Linked DNA regions of Drosophila melanogaster. The protein of the gene in region 1 interacts with the protein of each later gene in a pairwise test. Each region holds a gene or a part of one and is shown in the gene's direction. Other genes may lie near its edges. The genes, in order: Usp16-45 and CG8206.

Region 1 (7,732 bases):
GTATACATATGTATGTATGCATAGACGCAATGTTTTCTTTGTGGGAGTGGCAGCTCCTTTTCGCCTTTGTTCTCTTTCAGGCGTAAAAAAACCGAACATTAACGGTGAAAGCTGTAACACACACAGACGCACTTATGCTCGGCATGTGTATGCGTGCGATTGTGGGTGTGTGTGTGTGTGAGTGCTGTCATTGTGTAATCGCCGAATTGAACTCCAAATTTTTTCCATAACCACTTACTGTCACTTTGCCGGAACAACAACAACAGCGGCAAGGCAGAGTCATACACTTAACAAAAAGTTGACAAAAAAAAGGTAGTTAAAACGTTGGCTATGGTACCGGGAAAGAGGTGCGAATAGAGCTCAAGACACGGACATTGGAACAAATCCACACAGAACAGAACATGACACCATTTTCCGTCACATCTCTCTGTTTTGGCAAACACACACACGCACTTTTTTTGTACTAGGTTATGTTCCGCGTGCTGCGATTTCTTACCTTTGTGAACCGCTTGGGTAACTTATTTTGCTCACTATCTTTGGGTGCTTTCAAAGCTATCTACTGCACACGCGAGTTGTGTATTGTTTTTGCTTATTTGCTGGCGATTTACTGTCGTTTTCTCAACGCTAAAGTGCTGCACGAATTAAACACGTGTCTACGTTCCACCTTTTACAAATCACAATAACATGGCCGGCGTGCGGCAGTGTTGCCATGCATCCGCAAAACTCTGGCAATCGGAGCTGCCTGCTTAATCACCCGCACTCGCGATGGCCAAATCCTCGAATTACAAGAGCCTTTGTGCACACAAAAAAAAAATATAGAAAAAATCACTTCACAGTTTGAATCGCAGCCCAATTATTTCTAGAAAGCCGAAAAACGTGTGCACGGAGTGCTGGTTATCAAATCGAATGGCAGCACATGCACAAACAGGGCTGCCCACGCTCATCGATAGGTATCGATTGGGGCAATAGGTATTTTCTTAGGCGGCGTTGCCACCGAATGTGCACAAAAGTGTTGCAAATTTCGCGATATTTCGTTACGATATTTTGTGGAGCAATACTTTTGGGCATTTGTAATTTTCCAACGTAGTTCTTGGGAAGTTCTGATTTCATTTTGTCTTACCACAATATGCTTGTTCATGCGAATTTCAGCCTATTTTTTGTCAGTATAGCGCACTATAAATCGATAATTTCGAAATAATATTTATATAGGAGCAGATAGCGACTTCAATATCTCAAAGAAAACAATCACTAAAAATCTTCTTTTTAATTTAACACAGTGATGTGTGTAATTCCAAATGATATTTTTTTAAATTTATAAAGCGGCGCAAAATAAAAAAAAGACCAAGCTAGTTAGTAGTGAATGCATACATAGATTTTTGAAATCCCTTCAATGATTTAATTACCTCCTGTTTGAGCGAAGAACATAAGCAGTGTGGATAATTAATTAAAATAATAATAATAGCAATTATTTGCAGCATAAGTTGAATGATATAAATGAATTATTTGCACATGTTTCGAGACCCTATAGTTTCTGACAACGGTTCAAATTGACCACACGCGAGATTTGCGACGAAAATAAGCAACGGTCACACTTGGTCACGTCGTTCACGTTTTCTATTTACGCATAAACGAATAAAAAGCGCCTAAAAGTGCTATAAAACATATATGTTGTGTGCTCATGTGCTACACATATCGCAGCGAGTAAATTTAAGGTAGTAGGCAGATCTTGTTGTGCATGTGTGTGGGTAATCACAGTTCTAGTTTTGTAATTTTTTATATTTCCTACACTGTAAGCTTGTTTATACATGAATATTGATGTATGTGCGTGTCTCGGCATGCAAGCAAACATGTTTAGGATTGTTTTTTGTGTGCCTTTCGGTTATTTGTCATTTTCTGACTTTGAACTTGCACATTGTTGTTGTTCCAAACTTGAATACCATTGCGGTCAGAAGAAGAGGAAGCCATCGAACAGAGAGGTGAAGCAACAGCCTAAAAATTTGAAATTGACCACACGCGGGAGTTGCGACCCAAATAAGCAACGGTCACACTTGGTCACGTCGTTCACGTTTTCTATTTACGCATATACGAATAAAAAAAAGTGCATAAAAGTGCTGTAAAACATATATGTTGTGTGCTTACGTGCAACGCATATCGCAGCGAGTAAATTCAAGGTACTACTCAGATCCTGTTGTGCATGTGTGTGGGGGTAATCACAGTTCGTGTCTATGTGTGCGTGCGTATGGGCTTGATTGGTTGGGTGCGTGTATGAGTTCGGGGTCCTTTGGATTTTCGAGAAATCATCGCAAAAAGGGTAATACATATATGTATGTATGTTTGGGTGGTCAAACAGCGGGGGCACTCAATTTCGCTGGCTGGCAGCGGGGCGACGAACTTAACCTCAAATCCTGGGTCACAGTTCCAAACGTGACGAAAGACAACAAAGCAAACAAAGCCAATAGGGTCAGTCTGTCGGTGCGAGTTCCAATCGAATTCAATCCCGTTGCCAGTTATACACATCGATAGCCGAATCGGAAGAGCAGCAGCAGGGTTGTGACTATAACGATTGCATTCGAAGCAATTCGAAGATTTGAATCTGTGATTGGAACGCTACATATTCCTTCCAGAGCGCGCCCACAAGGAGGCCAAGGCCAAGCAGCTACCTTGCCATGGTAAAGAAGCGTCAGGCGGACAGTCGCGACCACGATTGCTCAACGGATTCCGGCAATGAGGATCTGCATCATCGAAAAGGACTCGGCTCGCCCGGTCAGTCGGATGGCGCCACCCCCACCACCGCCAGCTGCCAGCACATCAAGAAGGCGGTGGACGCGGCCCGACTAAGGCGTCTACTGAAGTCCACGGGTCTACTCTACGAGTGCAGCCAATGTCAGAAGCTGGGCAAGACAGCGGGCAGCGCTGCGGGAGCGGGAGCGAGTGAAGGAGCTGTCGGTCCTGGCGGAAATCCGGTCACCTTCGAATTTGACAACACCCTGTGGCTGTGCCTCAAGTGCGGCAGCCAGCTGTGCGGGAGGGCACGCCACAAGCACGCCTTAGAACACTACCAGGTGAGCAGGGATCTAGTTCACTTAAGCCAGTTGCAAACGACATTCTCGTTTTACATTGATATTCCATATGGTAGAAGCTGTAATCGTTCTGTGTGTTCCAGACACCTCATTCGGACTCACATGCCCTGGCCATGAATACGCGCTCCTTCGACATCTGGTGCTATGAGTGCGACATGAAGATCTGCTCCAATCTGCGCAAAAACCTGCTTGAGTGCGTGGAGCTGGTCAAGAAATTGGCCCAGAAGCCGCCCACTAGCACGGTTACGCCCAGTACGCCAACGATTAGCTACATCGAGGAGAAGCTTAAAGCCGCGCTGGAGCATCTCACACCAATAGTGCCAATGACTGGCGGATCATTTGACGACTCCAGCAGTAGAGGGTCTCTGGCGGCGGCCGGTGGCGGGGGCGGGGTCGGTTCATCTCGAAATAGGCAGGTGGCCATACCGATGCCACCACCAGAGCCTAGCTCCGGACTTTCGACCTCAGACTCGCTGACCAGTGTGCCGGGTATGGCAAAGAGAATTGACCAGTACTCGGCCACCACCAATGGCAACACTGGGAACAAACGACTCCTGACCCTAGAGACGCCGCGCATCGAAAATGAACGCCTGCCCCGCGTGCGAGGATTGACCAACCTGGGCAATACATGCTTCTTTAATGCGGTGATGCAGTGCCTCGCCCAGACGCCGTTCCTACTTAGCGTACTGAAAGAACTGTCGGAGCCCGGAGAAGAGTAAGTTCCAGGCCGAAAATGTGCATGCAAAACCATTATATCTGATGTTTGATTCATTCAACAGATTCATCTTACCTGGCGGAACGTTCACCATAAAGGACAAAGGTGACATTGAGCTGCCGATGATCAAGGGTACCCTGTCCTCTTGGGGTGGACTCACGGCCGCGTTAGCCAATGCCCTTGAGGAACTGCAGGCTGGCGGTAGTGTATTTACGCCCAGAAAACTCTTCGACAGGCTGTGCGTAAAGTGTCCTCAGTTTACGGGCGGCGATCAGCATGATGCTCACGAACTGCTGCGCCAGCTACTGGAGAGCGTGCGGAACGAGGACCTAAAGCGCTACCAGCGTGTAATTCTGCAGAACCTCGGCTACAAGGATCAGGATGTAAATAGTGTGTCAGAGGAGATGCGACAAAAGTGCAAGATCTATGGCAATCAAGCAGGAGACCGAATTCTGCGCCCGGAACAGGTATTCCGTGGCTTTCTTGTGTCAACGCTCACCTGCCAGGATTGTCACAATGTTTCCTCGCGGCACGAGTACTTCCTGGACATGTCGCTGCCCGTGGCCGTAGAGAAACCTCAGCCGCCGCAGCGCCGAAAGCCAAGTCCGGAGCTCAGTCTTACGTCCAGCAGCTCTAGCGTCACCCCGAGCACTGGCCAGCCGACGATAAACACCAAGTTTACGGATGGTAGTGTCAACTTTACAGCCTCATCCCCGTCCTTCTTCCTGCACGCCCATGAGGCGGCATCCCTGGGCCCATCCAAGTCGCAGGTGAAAAAGGAGAAGGAGCGACAGCGTAAGGCGAAGCGGGCGGCCAAGAAGCGTCAGAAGTCTAGCCTTAATCTGAACGGAAATGATAGCGGAAATGGCAATGAATTGGCCGAGTCCGTAGACCAGGACGATGCCTCATTGGCTTCCCTGGGTGCCGGCGACGGCCAGGCCAATGATGGCCTCGAACAGACCAACGGCCAGACCGAGGATTCCACCACCTCCAGCGTGACTACTTCGGAGCACTCCGACGCCGATGTTGAGGACAATCTGGTGGAGGATACAGCCGCGCCGTCCACTAATAATGTGCCGAGCAGTACGGCATCCTTGACAGCTCCCTCCAAGACCTACATGGACAGCAATGGCAATGCCCAGCCGCCGGGGGAGAAGCGCGACGATACGCCGGAGCACATGGACAAGGATTCGCTCGAAGAGGACGAGAATGGTGAGTGAAAAGAGTGCCTTTATTTTTTTTTATTTAAATATAAAGATTGCATTCCCTTGCAAGTTAAGTTGCTTTGTACTTTGTACTTTGTATTTATCTGTGATCGTGATTAGGAAAAAATCCGATGATTGCCTAATACAATATACTGACTTGTCGCCTTTCATTTCGAATCGCTTGCAGACTCGGGAATCGCCACCAGTCCAGCACCAACTGCTACCAACAGCAGCACCAGTACCAGTGCCACAGGGAACAATAACTCTGTTGCCGGATCGGGGCTGTCCGGTTCATCGGGCGCTCTGGAGGATCCCTTGGCGCCAGCCAGCTTGGTCACTGCCGGACTCTCAGAGAAGGGCGCCTCGGTGATCCGCCAGGTCTCGGTGGGAGCTGAGCAGGGCGCATCCAATGGCACAGAAGACGCGGATGGCGAAGCCAAGGCAATCGAGCAGCCAGAGAAGACTCCTAGCCAAGCTCAAGCCATGGCTCAGGCCCAGGCCCGTACGAAGCGAGTGCGCACGCAAAGCTACTCGGACTGGAGCACCACGATAGCGCCGCGCTACCAGTGCGAGGATGGAGAGTGCTCCGTGCAGTCGTGCCTCAATAATTTCACCGCTGTCGAGCTGATGACGGGACAGAACAAGGTGGGATGCGATAGCTGCACGCAGCGCATTAACGGCAGTGATCCGAAGGCCAAGTCGGTGAACACCAATGCCACGAAACAGCTGCTGGTCTCCAGTCCGCCAGCGGTGCTCATACTACACCTGAAGCGTTTTCAGCTGGGACCGCGCTGCATCTTCCGCAAGCTGACGCGCCCGGTTAGCTATCCCAATCTGCTGGACATTGCCGCCTTTTGTGGGTCCAAGGTCAAGAATCTGCCGAACATCGATCGCAAGCAGAAGAAGCTGTTGTACGCGCTATATGGCGTAGTGGAGCACTCGGGCGGCATGTACGGTGGCCACTATACGGCGTACGTGAAGGTGCGTCCAAAGGTGGCGCCGGGCGACAAACGCTGGAAGTTCCTGCCGCATGGCAGCAAGGCGGAATTGGACCAGGACGATGACCAACTAAAAAAACTGGAGGAGCTGCTTGCCAAGGAGAAGGCGCGCGAGCAGCACCTGAAGGTGTTGGACGACAGCGATGACTTTAGCAACTCCAGCAGCAACTCGTCCACCTCCGACGAGAGCCAGACCCCAGCCACGCCACTGGAGGAGCAACAGACGCAGCAGGCGCAGCAGCCGCAGCAGCCGCAGCAGCTGGAGGAGGCTGCCAACGTTCGTGCGCCGCCTGGCAAATGGTATTACGTGTCCGACTCGCGTGTCCAGGAGGTCAGCGAGGATACGGCGCTGAAGGCGCAGGCCTATCTGCTTTTCTACGAACGCATATACTAGGGATTAGCTCGAGCTTTAAGCGGAACTGAGGATGCGAGGCGTATGGAAGAAAATTTTGGAATCCTATATTTGATACAGACAGAGTGCCGGAGAAAGAGAAGGCAGATACTCACACATGCCAAATGCATTTGGTTTCTCCCACTCAAAATTAATTGTACACTTTCGCTATTTTTATTATTATTATTTTTTTTTTTTGGAACAAGCTTTAGTTAGTTAAATGATGCAAAGGAGTAGACACACGCACTCATGTTAAATTGTAGTTCTCAGGAGGTTTGCTATTATGTCCTCGATTTAATTGTACTATTTTTTTAGTCATTAACAAAAAGACACTGAAGAGAAAATTATGTTTTATTAGCTGTAAGTTCTTTTGTTACCAAAATTGCCCATTATGACAGAAAGTTACTTAAACATACTCGAGTTGGGGGTTAAAAAAATGGATCGAAAGGAAAAGACAGACCGCAGAATGGATAGCTAAAAACGGATAAGCACAAATGAAATGGAGGCGGTTAACCAAGAGAGAAACTATTTGCAGATGTTCATAAGTTATAATAACGAATACAAATGAAATAAAAAAAAACCGATTGCTCGCTTCTGCCAATATATTTAACTTTGCAGTAACATAACATTATGTACACCTTAATTATATATAATATATATACACTATATTACGGGCCCATATACACATACCGCCCACGTAGATATGTATTTACAAGTTCAGCCGAAGGAGTAAATGTGTTCTTGGACCTACGTAGCGAAAGAATTGGCAACAGGAGAGATTTATACAATAGCGAAGAATAAATAATTATACACACAGTTTATCTTATGATCTAGGCTTAACTATCGTTTAATTTATGATAACTAATCAATCTATGAACTCTCTTGTATATTAAAGAGACAAAAGATTTATGAACGCCGCCGCCTGTTGTGATTTCAATAACCGAAAACGGAAGAGCTTCGTTTCGGGCAGGGGAAGATTAGGCATCATCATGGAGTAAGCCATACCGATTCCATTTAGTACGCCCCCAGCTTATCGGCCACCGGCTCTCCCACTATCTGCCTTCCATCTGACCCCATTTGATTCCATCCCATTCCGGAGTCATTTGGCCAAGGTCACGCGTCGCGTTCGCTTGATTCTATGGTGCGTCCACAGGGGCCATCGCCATCACCAGGCAGTCGCAATATGAGAGCTGCGCCATTCGGATCGTGGTACTGGCTGGGATTGGGATTGGGCCTGCTTCTGGCCATCGAGTGCGGCGTGGTTTCCGCCAAGCGTTTCCTGCGCTGTGAACTGGCCCGCAAGTTGCTCGATCAGCATGGTTTCGAACGCAGTCTGCTCTCGA
Region 2 (3,898 bases), about 10 Mb from region 1:
GATGTAGATCTATAGCATTTTTCGACAGAGGAAAAGAAATGACACTTCGTCTGCTTTAGTGCTGTCGATTAATCTAGCCATTTTTTTAAATTGGATCTAGTGAGAATTTTAAAATCGTAATGTTTGGTGTTTTTAACGGGCAACAACAAATTAAAAAGGACAAAAAAAAAATAGAGCACAGATCAAACAAACTTTTGGAACGCTAACAATTCTATATTTCGTCAAAATACAAATATAGTACAAAAAACTATCGACCAAGCCTACTTGCTAATTGGGAATCGAGGCGGCAGGAGCAGCCAGTGGCAGGACCTCTAGCTTATGCGAATCACTGTGATCGCTGACGAAGTGCAGCACTTCGAAGCCCACCTCTACCATGATCAGGATTATGATCATCCACTCGAGCCGGATATGATGGGCATCGTTCAGATTGTGGGACACCAGCTCGGCCAGTTCCACGCAGTGGTTGATCTTCTCGTTCATCACCTTGGTGCGCCGTGAGATGCTGAAGTAGGAGCACACCTGCAGGTAGAGTGCCTCCAGTTCCTCGCGGTCCCAGTAGAAATCGGGTGCATCCAGCAGATCCGACGACAGGTTGATCACATGACGCAGGGCAAATAATTCACCGGTTTTTCGCAGCATGGCCGCCCGCGAGATTCTTAATCGGCGACCACGCTTTAGATCCTCGGTGAGATGCTCTATGGAGTCTATGTAGCGGTCCAGTGTCGCCTCCCACATGCCCAGCTTTATTGACTGTGCCATCGCATTGGAGAAGGTGTACTTATACAGGAAACTATCCGTATCGGCGGTAACAAAGAACTTGCCATTCTGGAAGAATGCCCGTGACGTGACATTGAAGTCGCTGCTCTCCGCCACCAGATCGCCCTCCACATCCACCGCCGTCGATGGAATGTAGGTGTAGGGCATCACCTCGCTCTCCCCGTGAACCAGGGCACTCACATACGATTCCCTTTCGAAGGCGCGCAGGAAACTTAGCACATTGTTCGTCTCGATGTCGCTGCAGTTCCAAAAGACCACCGAGCCCTCGCGGAAGAAGAATATCTCCCGCGGCTGCTGACCCGTCGGATATTTGGCCGCCACAAAGAGCACATTCTGCTCCACGTCCAGATTGTCTGTGGAGAAGAAACGCTTCGTCTCGTACAGGTTCTGTTCGCGGAGGGCTATCTGCAGATCCTCCAGATTGTACTCCTCGGCGGTCGTATAACCACGGGTGTTGAGAAACCCCAAAGCGGACAGTTCATCGATGGCCAAGCGCTTCTTTCGAATGATCCTGGTGCGAATGGGCGATAGTATCGACTCCAAGCGCTCCTCGGCTAGCGGCAATGGCTTTACCCGCGGTTGCGTTTGAGTTCTAGGTACAGAAGCTGCTTGAGCTGGCGCCGCAGCCGATGAGGTGGCTTCACTGGCCAACCATCGGCGGCGGTCCATCATCCACTGCGTCTGCGTCTGCTGGCGCGGAATTCGAAGTCCTCCAAGGACCATCTGCCCGAATCTCAGGCGTGCAAAGTTCATGGCTTTTGATTTATGCTCCAGCAGCAATTAGTGGCCCATTTCTGGGAGTTGAGATCGGTTTGGTAACGAATCGTATCTGGTGGCTATATAATATAGTAGCCGGCCTCCGATTGCCTTTTGTTGTGATTATCGAATCCGATAGGCACTCAGTGGTGAACTCGGTTCTTCGGCCGTTAGTTATTTCTAAGCTATGAATTTTCATTATTGCTTGGTATTTATACTACAAATTTGGTAGTTGAAATTCTGTTATTTGCTTTTTGAAATGCTGTAACGAGTCTTCAACTCATACTACATAAACTTCTGCCAATAGAGACAAATTACTGAACCTGGATACAAAATAGCCAAAATGTGAGAACTGAATTTAAGCGGCCAACCGCCTGCACTGCTCCGATAACGATAGCCATCAGCTGTTTTCATCGCTCCACTTAACCATTTTCTTCCCCATTTGGGGCAAAACAAAACGCAGTAACTACCCCACATTCAGCACGTGCGGCGCCAGAATTCAGGACGCACTGCAGCGGGCGGCAAGAGCAGAAAGCAACGCGGATGTGCAACACCGCTTAGTAGCAACATAAAATGAACGCATTGCGCAACATCTTCACATCGCGAACTCTCAACTATTTGCGCCAGAATGGACAAAACGCGATCCTCAACGCCACCCAGCAGCAACAAGCGGTGGACGCCGTGCCGCTAACCAACGATGCCGAGCAGCACCTAAAATCGTCGCGTCCAGCACCGCTTTCCATACCGCGCTCCATACTCGATGCGTGCCATTTCACGGCCAAGCAGTTTGACCTGGGAGGCTCCACGTCCGGAAACCAGGCGAATGGCTCTCTGTCGCCGACGACACTGAAGCGCTTCCGACGCATGCAACGCCGCATGGAGCTGGTGTACCGCTGCAAGCTGTGCAACACCCGCAACACGAAGACCATCAGCGAAGAGGCCTACTACAGCGGCGTGGTGATCCTACAGTGCGACGGCTGTGCCGTCGACCATCTGATCAAGGACAATCTGGGACTGTTCACCGGCAGCGATGGCGATAGCAGCATTAGCTCTGGAATCAGTACCAGCAAGAATATCGACCAGGTGCTGGCCGACCGGCATGCCCGCGTCCGGGTGATCAAGGTGAACGAGCGCGGCGAGCTGATTTAGGAACTCTAGTCAAAGGGGCATCAGTAGAGGTGAGAACCTGGTGCCGTCAACCTGCGAATCGTGTCTGAGGAGGACACACTCGACACGGGGTGGCACATTGAACCCAAGCAACCAAGCACCCAAGTACCCAACTGCAAACCGGAATCCCACATTCTGTTTCCGAGCTCAGACGGCTGTATATAATAATTGTACTGTAATTGTTGATTGTTTCGGGCCGTGAGTAATGCCTAAAAAAGTGATTAAAGGAACGACCAGTTCAAAAGCAAAAAACAAACATTGTATATGGCTAAATCTGTTATTCCGCTGTAGACTATCTAATCAGGGTGCACAGAAAGAAAAATGTCTCATTGTTGATATAAATGTTAAAATACATATGTATATGTACAATCATCAAGTTTTGGCTACAAGCCATCAATTTTTGTCAATATACGCCGTGCCTATCTTATATTGACCAGGTTTTTTTTTCTGTGTACGCACACGCATATATACTAGACGTGCCCAGTCAAAAGTGGACTCATTTATTTATCTGGAGAGCCCTAGAAGCCGGTAGAAGCCGAAGGGGCTCGGTGGCCGCTCGCTAATTGATCGGATCGATCAAAACACAGCCGGAGTGCTAATTATCGCAACAATAAAAATTGGCACGCTGCCGGCCTGGCTACGCAATGGTGAAATGTGCCGGATTGGTAGGTATAGATACGGCTTTGGGGCTAGACACTAATGCATACCATATATAAATACATATAAGTATGAAAAACACGCCCCTGTCGAGTGATCTTTTCTGCGTCGTAAGGGGCCGCCGAATCCCTAAGAGATATGCCCCCAAATTGGCTAACAACAACGGATTTTGTGCGCTGATGGCATGTGGACGGAAGATAGTAAGCCCACGGAGTCTGTAGTTATTGCCAAGTGGTTCTACCAACTGTTACATCCATCTCTTGACATCTAAATTAATTAACTTCATTTGAAACTTCATTAAGATCTATCCCAATCTGCTGCTCTGCCATAATAAATATTGAAATAGATATATATGTAGATATGGTTTATTATTTTGAAAACACCAAGCAGATTGTTTCAGTGCTGCATATAATTGCATATAATTTCGAATGCCCAACTCAGCATGACACTGCGCTTTTGGTGACGTCAAGACAATTTGTAAACAAACAAGATGATTCCGAGGCATGGCGTCTAGTTCCACCTCCATTGAATCTTTCCAGAC

Evidence for each region.
Region 2: the proteins of Usp16-45 (region 1) and CG8206 interact in a two-hybrid assay, tested with the Drosophila melanogaster proteins (one large-scale study listed by BioGRID).

Annotation. Positions count from the first base shown.
Region 1 is NC_004354.4:5,419,956-5,427,687, forward strand, and holds Usp16-45 (ubiquitin specific protease 16/45), read left to right. Parts: upstream 1-1,577; 5' UTR 1,578-1,712; intron 1,713-2,012; exon of another isoform or gene 2,013-2,171; intron 2,172-2,227; exon of another isoform or gene 2,228-2,311; intron 2,312-2,436; exon of another isoform or gene 2,437-2,547; intron 2,548-2,624; 5' UTR 2,625-2,666; coding exon 2,667-3,062; intron 3,063-3,163; coding exon 3,164-3,795; intron 3,796-3,859; coding exon 3,860-5,007; intron 5,008-5,187; coding exon 5,188-6,392; 3' UTR 6,393-6,951; downstream 6,952-7,732. Other genes in the region: spoon (spoonbill), read right to left, coding at 239-283; CG16756 (uncharacterized protein), read left to right, coding at 7,573-7,732. UniProt on the Drosophila melanogaster protein: Involved in the regulation of DNA damage repair.
Region 2 is NC_004354.4:15,737,297-15,741,194, forward strand, and holds CG8206 (uncharacterized protein), read left to right. Parts: upstream 1-1,933; 5' UTR 1,934-2,106; coding exon 2,107-2,682; 3' UTR 2,683-3,121; downstream 3,122-3,898. Other genes in the region: CG11679 (uncharacterized protein), read right to left, coding at 268-1,530.